Sus scrofa: one gene and its partners. The protein of the gene in region 2 purifies or fractionates together with the protein of the main gene of each other region. This does not show direct contact. Links are inferred from orthologs where the notes say so. Each region holds a gene or a part of one and is shown on either strand. Other genes may lie near its edges. The genes, in order: NUP133, NUP160 and NUP43.

Evidence for each region.
Region 1: the proteins of NUP160 (region 2) and NUP133 purify together in Homo sapiens (co-immunoprecipitation; 4 studies listed by BioGRID and IntAct, with this or other methods). This does not show direct contact. The link is inferred for Sus scrofa from reciprocal best matches to the Homo sapiens genes NUP160 and NUP133.
Region 3: the proteins of NUP160 (region 2) and NUP43 purify together in Homo sapiens (affinity purification with mass spectrometry; 5 studies listed by BioGRID and IntAct, counting the BioPlex papers as one, with this or other methods). This does not show direct contact. The link is inferred for Sus scrofa from reciprocal best matches to the Homo sapiens genes NUP160 and NUP43.

What each region holds. Positions count from the first base shown.
Region 1 is NC_010456.5:60,366,847-60,370,495, reverse strand, and holds part of NUP133 (nuclear pore complex protein Nup133), read right to left. Parts: intron 3,498-3,649; coding exon 3,350-3,497; intron 368-3,349; coding exon 220-367; intron 1-219. UniProt on the Homo sapiens protein: Involved in poly(A)+ RNA transport. Involved in nephrogenesis.
Region 2 is NC_010444.4:14,884,988-14,888,636, reverse strand, and holds part of NUP160 (nuclear pore complex protein Nup160), read right to left. Parts: intron 3,220-3,649; coding exon 3,078-3,219; intron 1,392-3,077; coding exon 1,266-1,391; intron 1-1,265. UniProt on the Homo sapiens protein: Functions as a component of the nuclear pore complex (NPC). Involved in poly(A)+ RNA transport.
Region 3 is NC_010443.5:16,247,947-16,252,335, reverse strand, and holds the start of NUP43 (nucleoporin Nup43), read right to left. Parts: upstream 2,818-4,389; coding exon 2,605-2,817; exon of another isoform or gene 497-2,604; coding exon of another isoform or gene 464-496; coding exon 377-463; intron 71-376; coding exon 1-70. Other genes in the region: PCMT1 (protein-L-isoaspartate(D-aspartate) O-methyltransferase), read left to right, coding at 2,816-3,044. UniProt on the Homo sapiens protein: Component of the Nup107-160 subcomplex of the nuclear pore complex (NPC). The Nup107-160 subcomplex is required for the assembly of a functional NPC.

The DNA of each region.
Region 1 (3,649 bases), on a different chromosome or scaffold from region 2:
ATTACTATTTTTTGCCCATAAATATAACAGTTTGGGAATTCTACCATCTTTCTGGTTTTTCAGTTGAGCTGCAACATTCGCGACTGCAGACGTGGTACTGAATGTGGCAGTAACACTTAGGGGTATCATGCCTGAAGGAACACTTAGGGAAAGAGAACAAAGACTGCTTGGAATGCCTAATGAGTTCACTAATCCTGGTTCCTCAAACTGCTACCATACCTTGTGTGTTAAAGACAATTTTCTCCCGAGGAAGAGAAAACTTCCCAGTTCCCGTGGAGCACACATAGACAGAGTTTTCACTATACAGATAGGCTGTCTGGTTTGAAAAGTCTGGGACCATCAACCGACACGTAATCAAGTCTTCAGACTGAAAATTAAAGATTTAATGAGAATTGAAACAAAAATACTTGTTTGTATGATCTTATAATTCATCTACCATCTCACAAAAATGGTAATATTCACTAATTATCCTTGTGAAAACCTAAACACTAAGTATAAGATGACTTATAAAACAGAATAAGTTTACGAACATCAATTAGAGAAATCATTTGCTGAGTTGCAAATAATTAGCAAATTTTGAAAACATTTCCAAGGTGATAAGACTTTAACTAAAAGCCTACAGCAAATGTGAGAAAGAAAATAAAGAATTAGTTCATTATTTATTTTAGAATTGACAAATACTTATAAACAACTCCTGATAAACATTTTGTTTCTTTCCTCACTGTCTAGATATCAAGCACAAGAACACTGAGTTAATTTATTCACATATGAAATTTGAAATAGAAATAAGACCTGACTGAATAATAAAAATGACAAAAGCTAAAAAGAATATACTGTTATTAAAAAATTTTTTACATGAGTTCCTGTTGTGGCTCAGCAGTAACAAACCCAACTAGTATCCATGAGGACACAGGTTTGATCCCTGGCCTCACTCAGTGGGTTAAGGATCCAGTGTTGCTGTGAGCTGTGGTGTAGGCTGCAGACACAGCTCGGATCTGGTATTACTGTGGTTGTGGTGTAGGTAGGCAGCTACAGTCCAATTCAACCCCTAGCTTGGGAACTTCCATAGGCCGCAGTTGCAACCCCAAAAAGACAAAAAAAAAAAAAAAATTTTTTTACAAACAAAACATTAAAAGCAGAATCCCATAATTTTTTAATTCTCACATTTTCTTTATACCCTTTGCCTGAAAAATTTTAACACTGAGCATATTTCGCTTATATAGTCAGAGCACATAAGGTTTATTTGTTTCATATAAATGGCCAAATAAAAAGACTTACTTCCTTATAGCATTCAGCCATGAGAGTCATATTAAGAACAAAATTTCTGGATTTGCTGTTGTGGAGCAGCAGGTTAAGAAACTGACTAGTGAAGTTCCCTTTGTGGCTTAGCAGAAATGAATCTGACTAGGAGTTCCAGTCGGGGCCCAGTGGTTAGCGAATCCAACTAAGAACCATGAGGTTGCGGGTTCGGTCCCTGGCCTTGCTCAGTGGGTTAAGGATCTGGCGTTGCCGTGAGCTATGGTGTAGGTTGCAGATGCGGCTCGGACCCCGTGTTGCTGTGCCTCTGGTGTAGGCCAGCAGCTACAGCTCCGATTCGACCCCTAGCCTGGGAACCTCCATATGCCAAAGGAGCAGCCCAAGAAATTGCAAAAAGACAAAAAAGAAAAAAAAAAAAAAAAAAGGAGTTCCCACCGTGGCACAGTGGTTAATGAATCCGACTAGGAACCATGAGGTTGTGGGTTCGGTCCCTGGCCTTGCTGAGCGGGTTAAGGGTCTGGCAGTTGCCGTGAGCTGCGGTGTAGGTCACAGATGTGGCTCAGATCCTATGTTGCCATGGCTGTGGTATAGGCTGGCAGCTGCAGCTCCAATTCCATACGGAGTTCCCAGGCCAGGGATCACATCTGAGCCACAGCTGCAGCATCACTAGATCCTTTAACCCACTGGGCCAGGCCAGGGATTAAACCTGCCTCCTGGAGCTGTAGAAATGCTGCTGATCCCATTGTGCCACAGCAGGAAATCCTATAAATCCACTTCATTTAACTCTGGTTCCGCAGGTTTTTTGGTGTGTTTTGTTTTGTTTTTTTGGCTTTGTAGGGCCACACCCATGGCATATGGAGGTTCCCAGGCTGGTCATATAGAAGCTACAGCTGCTGGCCTACACCACAGCCACAGTAACACAGGATTCGAGCCGAGTCGGTGACCTACACCACAGCTCACGGCAACGCCAGATCCTTAACCCACTGAGTGAGGCCAGGGTTTGAAGCCACAACATCATGGTTCCTAGTCGGATTCATTTCCGATGCACCATAATGGGAACTCCTAATTCTGCAGAATTCTTATTCTTTTTTTCTTTTTAGGGCTGTACCTGCAGCATATGGAAGTTTCCAGGCTAGGGGTCAAATTGGAGCTGCAGAATTAGATACTATACAAAGTTTAATGAAATGAATATTTAGGAGCTCCTGCCGTGGCACAATGGGATCAGCCACAAAAAAAAAAAAAAAAAAAAAAAAAAAAAAAAGAAATGAATTTACAGCATTAAGACCTCTCCTTACGAACATCATAGTTATTAAACAATGTTCAATTGCCATTAAGAAGCTTAAAATTAGAGAGCTTACCTTCTAATTGTTTACATGAACTTTGATGAGTATTTAATGTACTTGCCTCCAATATAATCTCTGAGCAAAAATTGTTTGTTTTTTTTTTTCCCTTTAATTTGCAGGGGTGAAACCAAAGCCCAATTCCTATCAGGTTCCTTCCTTATTTTTCACTCTGCAGTTCATGGTCAGCATTTTCTTTCTACTCAGTGATAAAGAAACAAGAATCCCTTCACAGAGTGGGAGCAGGAGAAACACACTTGCTGCCAGGCGCTCCACTCCCACTTCTCTTTAGCTAATCCAAGGGAAAGGAATGTGTTTAACACGGCAGACAGGATCCAATGCCCCCAAACTAGCAATTTAAAATGTATTTCCGAGCCAGCAGATGAATTTCTCAAAGAATCTGGCCCTGCAACAGTTAGGAAAAATAACTCAGTATGTTATTGTCACTGTGTAATTTCACTTACAGACAGGGAGGTCCCATCGTGGCTCAGTGGAAAAGAATCTGGCTAGCATCTGTAAGGACGCAGCTTCAATCCCTGGCCTCACTCAGTGGGTTAAAGGATCCAGCACTGATATGAGCTGTTGTGTATGCTGAAGACACAGCTTGGATCTGGTGTTGCTGTGACTGTGGCATAGGCTGGCAGCTAGAGCTCTGATTCGACCCCTAGCCTGGGAACCTCCATATGATGCAGGTGCAGCCCTAAAAAGACAAAAACCAAAAACAAAAAAAAACTTACAGACAGATATCTTACCTGAAAAGGTGGATTATACTGAGTGACTTCTACAGTTACTGCATCTGACATTTGGTAGCCATTATCTTCCACTGCTATCAGAGAGTAATAGACGAGACATGGATTGTCTGCTAGGTGCCATGCCGCAGCCAAAATCAGAAGTCCATCACTAATCAGTGAAAAAGAAAGATCTACTGCCTCTTCAGAAAACAGCCTAGCAATTTCTTACAGTTAAATATGCACTTACCATGTAACCTAGCAAACCCACTCCTAGAAGTTTACCCAAGAGAAATAAAAACATGTGTTCACACAAAAAAATCA
Region 2 (3,649 bases):
GTGTGTTTAGGGCCACTCCTTTGGCATATGGAGGTTCCCAGGCTAGGGGTGGAATCAGTTGTAGCTGCCAGCCTATGCCACAGCCACAGCAATGCCAGATCCAAGCCGTGTCTGCGACCTACACCACAGCTCACAGCAACACCAGATCCTTGACCTGCTGAGTGAGGCCAGGGATTGAACCTGCAACCTCATGGTTCCTAGTCAGATTCGTTTCCGCTGCACCACGATGGGAACTCTAATTCATATCATCTTTGATGTTAAAGCAGCCCTAAGGCTGATTAATGATAAACACACTCAACAAAACTCTTCTATAAATTCTCAATGAATAATATTATTTCCAGTCTGAAATTTAGATTCAAATTATCTGGAAAAAACCTTTGTTAAAGTTAAGTTTAGGAGTTCCCGTCGTGGCTCAGTGGTTAATAAATCCGACGAGGAACCATGAGGTTGTGGGTTCGATCCCTAGCCTTGCTCAGTGGGTTAGGGATCTGGCGTTGCCGTGAGCTGTGGTGTAGGTTGCAGACTCAGCTTGGATCCGGAGTTGCTGTGGCTCTGGCATAGGCCGGCAGCTACAGCTCTGATTCAACCCCAGGCCTGGGAACCTCCATATGCCGCAGGAGCGGCCTAAGAAATAGCAAAAAGACAAAAAAAAAAAAAAAAAGTTAAGTTTAACATTTGAAGTTCTGAATATTTTCCTGAGAGTTTAAGAGCTTGGGTCTGTAGTTAACTAGATCTGGATTTTTTTTGGCCATGGGAGGATCCCTCCAGGGATCAAACCTGTGCCACAGCAGTGACAACAACAATGGATCTTTAACCCGCTAAGCCTCCAGGGAACTTCAACACCTGGAGTTTTAATTTATCTTTTGTGTGAGCCTTGGCAACTTGACCTCTGAGTCCCTTTTTCCTCATGGGCAACAACAACAAAAAGAACAGTCCCTTATAGGCTGTTATAAGGATTAAGTGAGAAAATACAGACTCAGCCCAGTCTTCAGCACACACAAAATACCATTTTGTTCTTACTTCCCTCACTCTTCCAAATACTACCTAAAACCACATTCCTTTAAAGGAGAAAAATGAGATGTATTTCCCTTTGATAAGCAGGAAACTGGAAATACTTAGAGTGCCAGTCCCTGCTCTTGGAGAAAACTAGTTGTGTAACTACCCTCAGTAAAGGTTAAACCTATTATTCTACAGTTCAATTTACTTTCATATCCTGACTTGACTCAGTGTGATAATACAGAATACATACAGGTATTCGAGCCTACCTCAATTCCAAAGTACTGATGTCCTTTTCCCAAGACAGCATCCACATATTCAGACACCAAGTCCACAGCTTCTTCTAAAAGGTCGTAGTTTAAGTATAGACGGAGCAACTCAGCTGCATCAACCTTCTGCAAAAAGTCAGTGATTAAGAACATTTACTTTTTTCCATCCTACCTGGGCACCGACCAAAGGATGCTGTCTGATTCCCTGGCATTTATACTTTTCACGATAAGTAAACAAGTGCCTTGGTTTACTTATCTTGGGATGAAGGTTGGATTCCCAAGAGCCAGTTACCTCTAGGCACCTCGTAAGCCCCTTTCTGTTAAGTGGCCTTACTACCTGTCTGGATCTAAGACACATTTTAATTCTTTCCTATTTCAGCTTCCATAGTAGTAAAAAGTCAACGACCCTTCCCCAAATGCTGAGTACAGGAGATAACATATTCACATTAATTCTCAGCAATATATGAATGACAAATGCAAAAGAAGTTAAAGGAATCACCAACTTGAAATGCTTGAATTATATTTGTACTTAACTCAGGGTGAGAGGAAAGGAAAGTGACCACGGCCTTAGTTTGGAACAGCTCTCCTAATTAATGTCAGTTATGCTTTCCATATTCTGATTCGATCACAGTCTTAACCTCTACCATCTTAGTTGCTTTCTCTACTTTCAAACTCAAAAAACAACAGAATTTTTTGATTGTAAGCTTTATATTATTTTCCTATTGTGCCCAGTATATTTCAGATATAGTAGTTCTCACACTTAGTCACAGATCAAATCAAATTAGGATCTTGTTAAGATATAGATTGTGGATCCTAATGCCAGATAATTTGATTCTATAAGTCTGAGATGAAGCCTAGGCATCTATATTTTGAAGAAGCCCACCACCCAAATAATTTTTCTTTCTTTCTTTTTTGCTTTTTAGGGCCACAACCAAAGCATACTGGAAGTTCCCAGGCTAGGGGTTGAATCGGACCTACAGCTGCTGGCCTATGCCACAGCCACAGCAACGACAGATCCAAGCCCTGTCTGCCACCTACACCACAGCTCACGGCAATGCCAGATCTTTAACCCACCGAGCAAGGGATTGAACCCGAATCCTCATGGATACTAGTTGGGTTCGTTAACGCTGAGCCACAATGGGAACTCCCACCCAAATAATTTTGATATGGGTGGCCCAAGAAACTAATTTTGAAAAAAAAATTGAAACACACTATTGTAGTAACTACTCCACCCAATCCTGTGAATTTTTTGAGTAATGAAAAGCAAATGCTAGAGTTCCCGTTGTGGCTCAGTGGTTAACGAATCCGACTAGGAACTATGAGGTTGTGGGTTCGATCCCTGGCCTTGCTCAGTGGGTTAAGGATCTGGTTTTGCTGTGAGCTGTGGTGTAGGTCGAAGATGTGGTTTGGATCCCGAGTTGCTGTGGCTCTGGCGCAGACCAGCGGCTATAGCTCCGATTAGACCCCTAGGCTGGGAAACTCCATATGCCGAGGGTTCGGCCCCAGAAGAGAAAAAAAAAAGGAAATGCTGTGTCACACAGATCGAATTGTTCTAAATGCATGCTTGTGGTTCAGTAAGCACACAAGCCTGCATTAACATAATCAACCCAGAGAACTTTAAACACCCAGTACTTCACCGGGACTGAGGCAAAGTGCTCTTAGTGTTTTTAGCTAAGATTGAGGTATTAAGAACATAAGTCAGTATGTGTCCATAAATTATCATTCTGTCTTTTCCTTTTTAATCATCTCATAAAGTTATTCAGGATGATAAAGACCAGGTTCTCACTCTCTACAAGTTAAGAGAACACTTACCTTGTAACTGTTTATAAGCCAATTAGGCAGAGGCACTCCATGAGACAAGAGCTTGTTAATGACACAGTGGTGATATAAATTATTCTGGACTTTGTATCTTTCCAGGTAAGTTGATAAGAGTCGCCATGCTTCATCTGTAGCACTTGATAAAAGCAGAAAGGACTAATGAGTTCCAGATTCTTAATGAACAATGATAATACCATTCAAAGAATGTATTTAAAAGGAGAGCATTTTTAGAAGCTCACAACTGAACTGATAATCTAGCTAACTGACAGATAGTATTAGGGCCAATGTGACTGAGGAGTGGTACTCGAAACTAAATGACTTGGATTCTTGTGTTTTTTAACTGAAGCATACAATTCATTTAATGTCTTTGTTCCAGATTTCTAAAATAATAAGGAAATCGGCTCAGATCAGTTTCTAAACCTGAACAAGCAATCATACGGAAATTCTCATTTAGAAGACTAGAGTGTTATCTTATAAACTGTATTTTAATAATAATTTTTTAAAGATTTCTAGGGCCGCATCTGAGGCACATGGAAGTTCCCAGGCTAGGGGTTGAATTGGAGCTG
Region 3 (4,389 bases), on a different chromosome or scaffold from region 2:
CTCCTTCAAATCCTCCATCAGAGTCCACGTTCCCCAAATCTCCAATAGACCACAGTGAAACATAATTTTCCTGTAAAGCAAAGACGAAATACACGTCAAACTCGCTGAAATTAAAATTTTCATTGCCTTCAATCAACCTTGTTTTAAAATCGTTTTAGGCAAATGGGATGATAATCCTTGAAAACACAACGAGATTCGAGACTCAGACACACACACCATCGATGGCTTTGAGATACTGGGCAACCGAGCATGAGACAGGCATTCAGGGGACAGAGAAGGGCGAGAGAAGCTAGAATCGGAGAGAGTTCGCGCGCTGGCAGCCGGGGGTGCAGTTCTAGGAGGGAGAGAGGAGGCAGGGGCCCGGGAGTAGGGGTACCTCATTGTCCCAAGAGCCCGTGGCGAAGGTCTCCGCCGTCTGCAGGCTCCCCGAAGATAGCGGTCGCCAGCGGGTCTTGCTGATTTTCTGTGACACAAACTTGGCATAAATTTCCTCCATGCTGAAAGCAACCCGGGGGAGGTAGAGGCAGAAGCAGAGGTAGAAGCACAGCGCGCGCCACTCAGTCCCGCCCCTTTCCGCTAAGCCTTGATTGGACCGGACCTCAAGAGGACGGTGGCTACAGAGGGCCAATTTTCCTCCGTCTCCAGTGCGGGGAAAGAACCAGCAGCCCCTAAGTGGGAAGAAGTTGGGACGCTCTTCCTCAGCCAGGCGGCTCTGAACAGAGGCAAGAGTGTGCCCGTCCCCGTGCTGTAGGATCTGCTCCAAACCTGCAAAGTCAGCATGTGAACAGTGACGCGGTGCATTTCTGCAGTAACTGTGCAATGCATAACAAATTAAAAAGCAAAAAGCAAAAGAGTCAACGAGAGAAAAGCTCTAATAGCCACACCTAAGTATTAAGTCTTGAATTTCACCGTGCATAGAAAAGATTCAAAATCCTTATATTCTCATGGAAGTACATCCATTAACGTACCAATTTATTATTCAAAGCCTCTCTCTCCCTGTCCCCCAAACAAATCCTTCTCTTCAAGGTTTTTAATACACACTATCAAACGAGTTGGAATTCTGAAGACCCCAGTTATAATTTTGACTCTCATTGCCTTTGTAGCCTTCCTCAATTCATTTATGCATATAATTAAAGATGATTTTGAAATGTAACGTCGACTGCTTACCTCCGCCCTTAAAAAAAAATTCCTTTCTGCCTCAGAATCTTCCCTATCTTTCAAGGATTAATTCCTTCCTCTAGTTTTTTTTTCCTATTACTTCAGCCCAAGACGATCTAAATAAATATATCCCTTAATATCTAGACCACTAAGAGCACTTACATTTTGCTTCCTGTTGCTAGCTTTTTTTAAAAATGTAAACCTCCCCAATTAGAAGGTAAATCCTATTATTACAAAAGATAGGACATATTCATCTTAAAAAAAACCAAACAAACCTCCTTTATACTATAGCTATAACTGTGTTGGTTATTTCTTTAAATGGGGCCATGATTTTGTGTCTATCTGATCTTGGTAGTCCTATTTCACAGCCAGTTTGTGGAAGCATCGCATGGAAATGCAATCCATCTAGGTCAGCTTTGGAGACAGTTATCAGGTTCTTATTGAAAACTGACTGGTGTTTTGCTTTTAACTGCAAGATTATTAAGAAATTAATAATGAAATAGAAAATTTAGAGTCCCGAACTGAAAATTTGCCCCCAGTATTGAAGTACACTTTTCTTTACTGTTGCAGAATCCCAAGAAATAATACATATTTCAGATTAGGGTTAGATAAGTGTCACATTTGCCAAGGACTGGTGAGAAGCTTGAAAATTGTTGCTGACACAGTGGCACTGATGTTTTGACATAGCTTTATTTCCTTCCTTAAAAGTTTATTGTATTAAGTGATATGATGACTGGATTTTTCCACTCTCGGTTCTGACTATAAGTCAGTGAGTTGGATGCTACAGGCAATGTTCCTTGTCAGCTTTTCACTCATTCTCTTGCACAGCTAATAGCAAGAAAGCTGGTGTCCAGTCTAACGGTGGAATTTGTGAGGCTTAAATAGCTGAAAATGCACACTTGTGTTGGGAGAACAACACATTTGCCATAGGATACTGTAGTATTTTTAACAAGTTCTGAGAAGCACAGCATTCCCCACAGTCCACCCCCCACGCCATGTCTCAGTATTCTTCCACTCTTCTAATTCAAGCTCTACAGCTGAGAACAAACTAGGATCCCAAAGTCTCTGCTCACAAACGCTAACTTACTTATCACAAGTCAAAGGCTGGAGTACTTGGGTTAGAGAGGACCTTTTCCTTCCAGTTCTATTACAGTTATTCAAGCTCCACCATAGGGAGCTCTGGATCTAACTGACCTATGTATTAGTCATTCATTGGGTTGGGCGAGGCAGGACGGAGAAAGCCCACCGTCTAACAACCTGGACAGCTATAGGAGCAGCCCCGCCGCTTGCAGCAGCTGACCCAGCGGCGACTGCAGAGCCACCGGCAGCTGCGGAACCAGATCGGCCCTACCATCCTTTCACCGCGCTGGGTGACCAGAGCTGTAGTGAGGCACGCGACACCGACCACGCCGGGGCCCACCCCGCCCGCCTGGCCGCAGGGCAAACCCAGCAAAGAGGCGTTGCGCAGCCCGCGGCATCAGAAAGGCCACGCAGCAGAGGCGGTGGCGCTGACTCAGCCGGGCCATCCCGCCAGTCCCGGGCAGCCGCAACGGGACCTAACGCGGGCGGCTGGGCACCAAGCCATCCCCGCCTCCGGCCCCACCCCGGCCGCACCCGAGGCCGCGCGGCGTCACAAGGCGCATGCGTGCCGCGGGGCATGCCGGGAGCGCGCAGTGGCGGCAGCAGCGGCGACGGCAGTCACAGCGGCGGCCACAGCGGGGACGCGAGCGGGGCGGTGACCGTGTGGGAGGTGGTCTCACTCTTGGGGAAGCTGCTGGGCACCGTCGCCGCGCTGAAGGTGGTTCTGTACCTGCTCCGGGTGTGCCTAGCGATGGCCTGGAAATCCGGCGGCGCCAGCCACTCGGAGCTAATCCACAACCTCCGCAGTAAGTGCCACCCCCGCCCGGTGTGGGGCAAGTGGGGAAGGCCAGGCCTGGACCAGGTCCCCCTGGGCCGCCCGGAACGTTCTGTCCCTATCCTCCTCCCCGTGCCTGTTGGAGGGCTTAGGCGCAGGGTTGCACCAGCGGTCCCAAATGGCAAGCGCTTGCGATTGCCTCCCCTGGGACCTGTCACTCTTCGGGGACGTGGACGGGAACCGGAGAGAAAGACCCAGGGGCCGCTGCTGGTGGGGTAGGGACAGGCGTCTCCCCGCGGGCCTGGGGGAAGGGGCGAGGCACAGGTGGTGGGGCTGTCACTCGAGTCCGTCCCCCCCTGATCGGGGTCCGGCGAGGGGCGTGTCCTGAGGAGTGGGATGTTGGCCAGGTTTCCTGGAGACTGGGCTGGAACTGAGGGGACCCCGCCCTCGACCCCCGCGTCTTCTCACCTCCTGCTCTGTCGTAATCGACCTAGCTGCAAGCTTTCTCTCCTATTCTGCCTCCCCCGCCCTCTGATTTTTCCTCTGGAGGGAGATGCCACCGTCTGATACTGGCGAGGGGAGGGAGAGGAAGATGAGAGTATTGTCATTGCGGATGCTGGGAGAAATTTCTGGGGCGGCTGTCCAAGGGAAAGCTTCGTGGGGGGCGGAGGAAGAAATCATCAGGGGATGCTCTTCCCGAGAGACATGTATTTCAGGAGCCGTTAGAGATACTGGGATCCAGCAAAGGATTGTATATGTGGAATGTTCTAACTTTTTCCAGGGCTACTGTATGCTTTAGAAGCTTTGTATGGAAGTTTCTTTACACCATTCTCTTTAGTTATTGTATTCCTTTCTCTGATGATAATTTTAGGGTGACGAGTGCTGTGTCACTTTCTTTTTTTAAATCGAAATATAGTGTCGCCGTCTGGTCGGGAGACCAGAAAGACCAGAGTTCGTAATACTCTCTCACTCTGGTCAGATTTGTAGCCCACTTCTTTGCCCCTGACTTTGCAAATAATCACATCCTGCCACGTGGTATTTTTAATTATATGCATGTATATATATATAATATATTATAGATTATTTAGCTTTTCATGTGTTTGTCATGTTTCCTAATTCGATTTGTAACCTCCTTGAGGGCTGAGACTTTTTAAAAAACGTATTTGAGTTCTCTCAGAGAACTTAATAATCTTTCCTTTTTTCGTAAATGTCAATTAAATATATGTGGGAATACTAAGATTAATGAGAGAAATCAATAGCGTTGTCTGGCAAATGGTTAGTACTTAATATTAGTCATTTGACTTTCTTTTTCTTTTTCCTTTTTTTTTTTTTTTTTTTTTTTTACAATATTTAAAGCTCGGAAATCATGTCCTTAG